Linked DNA regions of Oryctolagus cuniculus. The protein of the gene in region 1 binds, or shares a complex with, the protein of each later gene. Links are inferred from orthologs where the notes say so. Each region holds a gene or a part of one and is shown in the gene's direction. Other genes may lie near its edges.

Region 1 (4,357 bases):
GCCTGCGGCGCCAGCATCCCATATGGGCGCCGGTTCCCGTCCTGGCTGCCCCTCTTCCAGCCCAGCTCTCTGCTGTGGCCCGGGAGGGCAGTGGAGGATGGCCCAAGTGCTTGGGCCTCTGCACCCGTGTGGGAGACCAGGAGAAGCACCTGGCTCCTAATCAGCACAGCTCCGGCTGTAGTGGCCATTTGGGGGGTGAACCAGCAGATGGAAGACCTCTTTCTGTCTCTCCCTTGCACTGTCTTAACTCTACCTCTCAAATAAATACATAAAATCTTAAAAAAAAAAAAAAAAAAAAAAAAAACCACCTGGCATCGTTGTCTCTTGTTTTTTAAATCACTTCAAACTCTTGATGCACACATATATATACAAATATACATATACATACAAATATATATATATATATATATATATACACCCTGTGTTTTGCCCAGAAAGTTTCAATTTACCAATGCAAAGTGCTGAGTGCATGGAGGAACTGAGCTCCTGGGGCACGGAAGGACACGCACCTTAGCAACCGAGCACGAACGTGACACACCTAAGGCTTTAAGAAGCAGAAGGGAGCGAGGCAGGCGAGCAGACGGAGCGCTGAGCCTCGGCCGCCCGGGACACACAGGCCAAGCGGCCGTCACGCACTTCCGCGGGCCCCCGCATGCGGTCCCGCCGGTGTCCCCGCGTCCAGCAGCGGGGCGGCCACCGGGCCCCCGCTAAAGACATTTCCCAGTCACGACAGCCGCGGACGAAGCCTGTCGTCCCCTCAAAAGCCCTATCCCCTCTCCTTTTCCGTCACCTTGGCTCGGAGGCGCCGGGAAGGCCCAGGCCACCCGACCGCGAGCACGGACCACCGCCGAGGCTTTCCTAGAACCCGCCGCACCCGCTCCACCCGGCTCGGCGGAACCGCGCCCCCCGGGACCCCCGCACCCGCACCCGCACCCACCTGCGGCGCCGGCGCCCAGCACGACCCACCGCCAAGGGCAGCGACCCGCACAGCCAGCGGCGCCGGCGGAAGCTGCGACCTCGGGACGTGCCATTCGCCGCGCGCGGACGGAGGAGAGGGGTGGCGGCCGGCGACACATACCTCGCCTTCCTTTCTGGGCGTGATTCTTTGTTACTTTTCTAAAGCTTTCGGACACCAACCATAATTTCTGACGGAACTTCGGCCCGAGGTGACGTGATCTGTCGGCGTCGGCGCCACCGCCTTCCCACGGCTTCGACTCCCCCCCTCCCCGGCCCGGGTGGTATCACCCTGGATCTTCCCCCTCGGCTCCGCGCCTCCGGTTTCAAAATGGCGGCCGCCACTGCGGGGCTCTTGCTGGCCGGGCGTCGGGGTTGCAGCTGAGCGAACGTCTGCTTTTGTCCCTCTTGAGCCTGGATCCGACTAGGGGTTGGGCAGGGCCCTAGTGGACGCCGTTGGGGGAGGCCTGACGAGGCAAGTGAGGGCGGGAGAAAGGCATGAGTCTTTGGATGGGGGAGGAGGCGTCCTAAGCGCGCCGGGGCAACAGGGCTGCAGCTAGGACCCGGCTCCTCCGAGGACGAGCTCCCGCGGCTTCCGATGCGGCTGTCCGGTGGTTCCCGGCACAAGGACGGAGGAGCAGCAGCGCCTTGCCTACGGCTGTAGCGCTCCCGGGTCTTCCGCGCCGGCCTGTCGGGTCCGCCGCCGTCCCGCTCGGCTTCCCTCGGTCCTTGGGGCCTCTCGGCGCCGGAGGAGTTCGCCTGACGCCAGCTTTGGCTCCTGGGCCTCGGGGCTCGGGCGCGCGCCGTTCGCAGCCCCTCGGCTCAGGGCCTTCCCGCGGCGTTGGGCCGAAGGGCCACGAGGCCGCCGAGCCTAGGGCGCAGAGCAGGTGTGCTCGCAGACGGCGGTGGCGCGCGGCTCGCCCCGGGCGCCTGCACCTTCGCTGCCGCCTTTCCCGGGACCTCTTTCTCTCTGTTGACAAGGCCCTCAGAAAACGAGGCGTCCGAGGGGCTGTGGCCCCCGCACGTCTGGGCTCCTGTGACCAGGCGACCCTGAGCCAGCCCTCACTTGTGTTCGAGTCCTGTCCCCTGGGATGAAGCCGCCGCTCGCCCTGCACTGACCAGGAAGAGGCGTTGCACTCCATGGCTTACTGTCTCGTTTCTTTCTTTTCTTCTCTCTCTCTCTCTCTCTTTTTTTTTTTTTTTTTTTTTTAAGATTTATTATTTGAGAGAGAGGGAAAGACAGAGGTCTTCCATCCTCTGGTTCACCACCAAATGGCTTTAACAACCGGAGCTGGACCGATCTGAGGCCAGGAGCTTCTTCCGGGTCTCCCACGTGGGTGCAGAGGCCCAAGGACTTGGGCATCTTCCACTGCTTTCCCAGGCCATAGCAGAGAGCTGGATTGGAAGTGGAGCAGCCAGGACACAAACTGGTGCCCTGATGGGCTGCCCCCACTGCAGGAGGAGACTTTACCGTCTGTGCTGCAGCTTCGGCCCCATCTCCGTTTTCTCTTGGATCCTGCACACATCCATAGCCGCCACCAACCTGCCTGGTCCCTACTGAGAGCCCACATAACAGTGATAGAGACCCAGAGTCGCTGTCAGGTCCCCGCCCTGGGGGAGCTTCCAAGTGTGAGGGTTCATCCCTCTCTCAGGACACATTTGTATTTGCTTTGAGCACTGTGCCTGGCATTGGAAATACAAAGGTGATGCCTTTATGCATTCAACAATAGTCCCTTTGTCTCAAAGTAACAATAACCAAGCTCCATGAATTACTCATTGTTTGAACTTGGCCACAAAAGAGTAAAAGAAATTTGCTAAGCTCAGAAGGTCATTTCTGGATTTAGCTCAGGGATGCAGACTTGAGAATATTTGGCGTATTTAGGGAGTGTGTGTGTGCTGTGCCAGGTGGCTGGCAAAGCAAGAGGCAGGTTGAGATCAGCTTGTGCAGGGCCTTGATTTCCAACCAAGGAGTTTAGATTTTTTTCAGCAGTTAGCAGGAAGCCAGTGAGTGCCTCGCACCAGGAGTGGAAGTGAGGTTATTTGCTTTTTAGGATGGTCTCTGGCAGCTATGGAGGTTCAGCCTGGAACAGGAAAACGGGCGAGTAAGTTACAGTCTTCCAGGTAAGGCAATGAGGGCCTCTGTTGAGGTAGGACATTAAAGGATGTCGGACTAGGGTCAAGTGGGATTCAGCTGGTGACCGCCAGCTTCCGCAAGGAGGGACTCGGGGTTTCAGTGTGGGAGACTGACTGGTTGGTGATGCCAGCAAAACACAGCAAAACATGCCCAGGAAACTAGAGTGGGCCCACCCTGCCCCCGAGAAGAGGCAGGAGCCCAGTGGTTACTGCTCAAGCACCCATTGTGGAGGGTAGGCCTGCGCTACTACAGTAGCTGCCTGTAGCTGTTGGGCTTGAGATGTAGTTAGTTCTTGTTGATTTGTTTGAAAGAGTTACAGAGCTGTCTTCCACCTGCTGGTTCACTTCCTGGTTCACTTCCTGGATGACCGTACCAGCCAGGGTTGAACTGGGCTAGAGCCAGGGGTTTCTGAGAGTCTACATGGGTGCAGGGGCCCAAGCTCTTGGGTTGTTAGCAGGGAGCTAGATTGGAAGTGGAGCAGCTGTAAATCAAACCGGAGTCCATATAGGAGGCCAGTGTCACAGGTGGTGGCTTTACCCGCTGTGCCACAATGGCAACCCCAAGATGGTTCCAATGGAGATGTGCCATAAATGTAAAATACACACTAGATTTTGAAGACTTGATATAAAAAACAGAAGAGCAAAATAGCACTAATTTTTAATAATGGATACATGTTAAAATGGTAACATTTTGGTTAAATGGGCTAAATAAAAGACTGAGACTTCATGTTTAACTTCTCAATGTGGCTGTGAAAAAATGTTTAGTTACACTTGTGACGTGCATTGTATTTCTGTGGATGGAGTCTTCTGGTCCAGACTCAACGGTGGGGGATCAGAGGAAGCTGCATTTCAGCTGGAGCGTGAGAGGTGATGGGAGCCGTGGTGTCAGGGCGGCTGCCCAGCAGCCTCCATTGCCCGCTGAGGTGTTTAGGTATTTGTTTTGAAGCAGTAGGAAGTCGGCGGAGTTTTCTGAGCAAGGAGAAATGGGTGTATAGGGCTGGTTCTGAAGACTGATCTGGCAGCAGCATGTGGGTAGGGAGGAAAGACTGGAGGCGAAGACAGCAAGAAGCCCAGATGTGCAGCGGGGAGGCCCTGTGTCGGGATCGTGGTGTTGGGATGGATGGGGGATGATGCGGGAAAACAAGCGGCAGTGGGTCACAGGCCTTACAAGGAGAAGTAAAGGGAAAAATTAAACATGGAGTTTACGGCCTTGGTTACTTATAGCAGTTAATGAGTTGATATCACAGAATAATCAAATGCGTGGGAGCTA
Region 2 (4,417 bases), on another chromosome or scaffold:
AACTGTATCCAAGACCTATACTGTTAAAAAGTGACTTGAGGCTGGCGCCGCAGCTCACTAGGCTAATCCTCCGCCGCGGCGCCGGCACACTGGGTTCTAGTCCCAGTCTGGGCACCGGATTCTGTCCTGGTGGCCCCTCTTCCAGGCCAGCTCTCTGCTGTGGCTCAGGAGTGCAGTGGAGGATGGCCCAAGTCCTTGGGCCCTGCACCTGGCTCCTGGCTTCGGATCAGTGCGGTGCGCCGGCCGTAGCGGCCATTTGGGGGGTGAACCAACGGAAAAGGAAGACCTTTCTCTCTGTCTCTCTCTGTCTAACTCTGCCTGTCAAAAAAAAAAAAAAAGTAATTTGAAAAACAAAAATAAATCGTGAACAATGAAAAAAATAGGGGCCGGCGCTGTGGCATAGCGGGTAAAGCTGCCACCTGCAGTGCCAGCATCCCATATGGGCGCCAGTTCGAGTCCTGGCTGCTCCATTTCTGATCCAGCTCCCTGCTATGGCCTGGGAAAACAGTAGAAGTCCTTGGGCCCCTGCACCTGAGTGGGAGACCTGGAAGAAGCTCTTATCTCCTGGCTTCTGATCAGCACAGCTCCGGCTGTTGCGGCCAATTGGGGAGTGAACCAGCGGATGGAAGCCTCTCTCTCTCTCTCTCTGTCTCTGTAACTCTGACTTTCAAATAACTAAATAAATCTTAAAAAAGAAAAAAATAAATAAATCACATAGAATCAGCAAAACAATACCTAGATATAGAAAGAGGCATTTTACACTATGCTCTGTGTCCCTCCATGGTTTTCCAGCGTGAGCGAGCTGCATGGACCCTCAGCCCCCCTCGAAATGACACGGTTTCGGGCCCTACCCCAGCTGCTCTGTCAATCAACTAAATGCAATCAATGCTCGATCTCACATCGAGAAAACGAATAAAAAGGGCAATTTTGTTCCCACCCAAGTCCACTAACGCACCCAGGTTAAAAACCCCCGGGGTTGAGAGCCCCGCGGCCGCCGTCCTCCCTCGGACCCCGCATTCCCAGACGCTCGCCCGGCCCCCTGGTCACCCCGGCCCCCTCTCACCCCGGTTTCCTCCGACGCCCCCGGGCCTCCCTAGGCTCGGGTCCCCGGGCCGCTGTGAGGACCCATGGGAACTCCCAAGCGTAGGGGTCGCGGGCCCCAGGCCCCAGGGACCCGGCCTCACGCGGCCCAGTCCCGCGTGCCGAACCGGCCCGGTTCCCCTGTGGGTCACCCTCCGCCAGAAGCACGCGCCCCGCGGAGCCTCGCCCATGCGCAGTCCGCGTCGCAAGCTCCCACGCGCGGGGGTTTCGGCTTACCGGCCAGGCGAGGGGAAGGGAGGCGCTGCGTTCGGCGGGCGGCTAGCCGGGCCTGGCAGAGCGGTCGTCCTCCGCTCTCGATTGGCCGGGTCTGGACGTGCAAAAGCACCGGCGCGGGCTCGGGCGCTCCCGGCATCCCTCGCGCGGTGGTGGCGGCGGCGGTGGCGGCAGTGGCGGCGGCGAGGCGGAGGCGGAGGAGGCGGACTGCGTGCGGCTGGGGCCGGCGGCGGGTGGAGGAGTGAGGGCAGCGAAAGACCTGAGAGGAAGTCGGGCCGGGGGGCCGCCGCCGCCGCCATGCAGGAGATCATCGCTAGCGTGGACCACATTAAGTTCGACTTGGAGATCGCGGTGGAGCAGCAGCTCGGGGCGCAGCCGCTGCCCTTCCCCGGCATGGACAGTGAGCGCGGGGCCGGGGCGGGCGGGCGAGAGCGACTCCGCTCCGGGACACCTGTCTCTCGGTCCCGGAACCCCTGCTTGCCGGGGGCCGGGGTCCCCATTTTCTTCCCTCGGACTCCGGAGCCCCCTCCCTCCCCCCACCGTGCGCACTCTCTCGGGTCTTTGGACCCCTGGGGCCGCTCTGAGGTCCGCTTCGGGCGGTGCTTGTGTAGTTCTGGAATGAGGGCGAGTCACGCTGGGTCGGCAACCCCAGCCCCGGGCAAGTCCTGGGCTGTGCGCCCCGCCGCCTCCCGCCCCACTCGCTGAGCGGCCGCACTGGGTCCGAAGGGGAGCCCTGCCGAGGAAGGGGCCTCCTCCCCTCTGTAGGAGACCCCCAGCCAACCCCCGTCTGCTCCTAGGACTCGCTCTCCTGGGAGCGCATCTCCAGTCTGGCCTTGTCCCCCACTTTTTCTCTGGTCCCCGGGAAAACATCGCACCCGGGCACCTGAGCCCCCATTAACCGTCTTCCTTCCCCTGGCTTCTCCACCTCCCAGCGCAGACTTTAAAAGACATAGCAGTTTTCTTATCTCCTCTCGTTTGTGCACCTGCTTCGGATCTGCAACTGTAAAGCGCACGTCACGGACGGGGAACGGAGGCCCCGGGTGGAGAAGGGACTTGGAGCCCACGTACAGCCAGGCTGTGTCCCGCAGCTGCCAGCAGCAGCACTGCCCTCAGGCAGCCCAGCCTTCTCACACCCACGTGATCCGCCTCTCTGCTAGCGAGGGCACGCCCAAGAGACCACCATGAGAGTACCCCTGGGGGGCCCCCCACCCCACCCCTCCGACCACCGAGGAGAGCCCCCCGGGCTCCCCGACCCCAACGACCACCACCGATGAGAGTCCCCCTGGGCTCCCCGACCCCTCCGACCACCACCCCTCCAACCACCGAGGAGAGTCCTCCGGGTGCTCCCCCCGACCCCTCTGTCTGCGACCTCTCGGTGCGCACACACTCACGTGCAGCTTCTCATTTCTCACTCTTGGTCTCTTCATGTCTCAGGGGCACTGGTTTGAGGCCGTGGGACCATCCTACTCCCGCTTGGCAACACAGATCCAGGAGCCTGTGAGGCCGGGGGCGGGGCCCCACGGGGCTGCCCCGGGACACAGGCAGCCCGAGCACTCCCCACGTGTCCGTGCTCACGTGCCCTGCGTACCTTCCCTGAGCTGCTTCCCCATCCCAGTGCTGGGAAGAACCCCTTCTGCCCTTGAGACAGGCTCCTTATCCCATCTGCCTGAGCCTCAGTCAGACGTAGCAACAGAGGGAGAAAGAGAGGTCTTCCATCTGCTGGTTTGCTCCCCAAGTGCCCACAGCAGCCCGGGTCTGGACCAGGTGGCTGAAGCCAGGAGCCTGGAACTCCATCTGGGTCTCCCACGTGGGTAGCAGAGACCCAAGTCCTTGAGTCATCATCTATTGCTTCCCAGGATGATTGACAGCAAGCTGAATCAGAAGTGGAGGGGCGGGACTTGACCCAGTACTCTGACGATGGGATGTGGGCATCCCAAGTGGCCACTTAACCTGCTCTGCCACGCCTGCTCCTAAATGGTATATATATTTTAAGATTTTATTATTTATTTATTTGAGAGGGAGCGACAGAGAAAAAGGTCTTCCATCCTCTGTTCACTCCCCAAATGGCCACAATAGCTGGAGCTGAGCCAATTAGAAGCTGGAGCCAGGAGCTTCTTCCAGGTCTCCCACGCAGGTGCAGGGGCCCAAGCACTTGGGCCATCTTCTACTGCTTTCCCAGGCCATAGCAGGGAGCTGGATGGGAAAAGGAGCAGCCGGGACTCGAACTGGCGCCCATATGGGATGCCGGCACTGCAGGCGGAGGCTTAGCCCACTACCACAGCAATGGCCCCAGTGGTATGTTTTTAAATGCAAGGTTTTCAGATTTTTGAGATGCGAACAGAATGACACCCCAAGTTCTACAACCTTAGCTCTGTCCAGCACAGTCTGCCTGTTTTGAGAAGCCAAGGAAGCCACTCCAGAGAGACCGCCAGTGGGTTTCAGCGGTTCTGAAATGGCTGCTGGTAGAGAAGACTTCGTGAGCCCAGGGAACGTTTAATCTGCTAGCCATGGCCAGTGGATTCCTGGACTCGCAGACCCTGGCCCCAAGCCCCCCGACTTCCCTGCGCTGCACCTGTGGGAATGCAGGCTGGGCCCCTCAGCAGCAATGTGGGTGCCGCGTACCCAGGGCCTTCCTGCCTGTGCTCTGCCCCCTGACCAGCGTCCCGAGGCCCCCAGCCCCTCCTCCCAGGCCCCGTTTGCTTGTGCTGCCTGTCCCATCTTCCCCCCTGCCTGTGAAGTAGCTCTCCTGGAAGCGCTGAGCGGGGGGATTAGCTCATTTCTGTGAGCCTGTGTGCCAACTTTCCTTCCCCCACCCACTCTTAACTCCTTGGAAGGAACTTGTGGACAGGAAGCTCTCGGCAAGCCTGGGTTTCACTGTGTGCATCTCACCTTTCACTGTGTGCATCTCACCTGCCGGGTAGGACGGAAACAGGCAGCTTTGTCCTTGCTCGGCTGGGTCTCCTTACTCCATTTCCTCCCCCTGAGCCCGTCATGAGTCAGACTGAACAGGGTCCTCCCTGGTAGCTTTTTTTTTTTTTTTCTTTTTGACAGGCAGAGTGGACAGTGAGATAGAGAGAGAGAGAAAGGTCTTCCTTTGCCATTG

What was found.
Region 2: CPSF2 (region 1) and CPSF4 share a complex: the UniProt entries of both Homo sapiens proteins name them as parts of the cleavage and polyadenylation specificity factor (CPSF) complex. The link is inferred for Oryctolagus cuniculus from reciprocal best matches to the Homo sapiens genes CPSF2 and CPSF4.

The regions. Positions count from the first base shown.
Region 1 is NC_091451.1:37,371,192-37,375,548, forward strand, and holds the start of CPSF2 (cleavage and polyadenylation specificity factor subunit 2), read left to right. Parts: upstream 1-1,289; 5' UTR 1,290-1,429; intron 1,430-3,053; exon of another isoform or gene 3,054-3,075; intron 3,076-4,357. UniProt on the Homo sapiens protein: Component of the cleavage and polyadenylation specificity factor (CPSF) complex that play a key role in pre-mRNA 3'-end formation, recognizing the AAUAAA signal sequence and interacting with poly(A) polymerase and other factors to bring about cleavage and poly(A) addition.
Region 2 is NC_091450.1:41,649,997-41,654,413, forward strand, and holds the start of CPSF4 (cleavage and polyadenylation specificity factor subunit 4), read left to right. Parts: upstream 1-1,452; 5' UTR 1,453-1,611; coding exon 1,612-1,714; intron 1,715-4,417. UniProt on the Homo sapiens protein: Component of the cleavage and polyadenylation specificity factor (CPSF) complex that play a key role in pre-mRNA 3'-end formation, recognizing the AAUAAA signal sequence and interacting with poly(A) polymerase and other factors to bring about cleavage and poly(A) addition.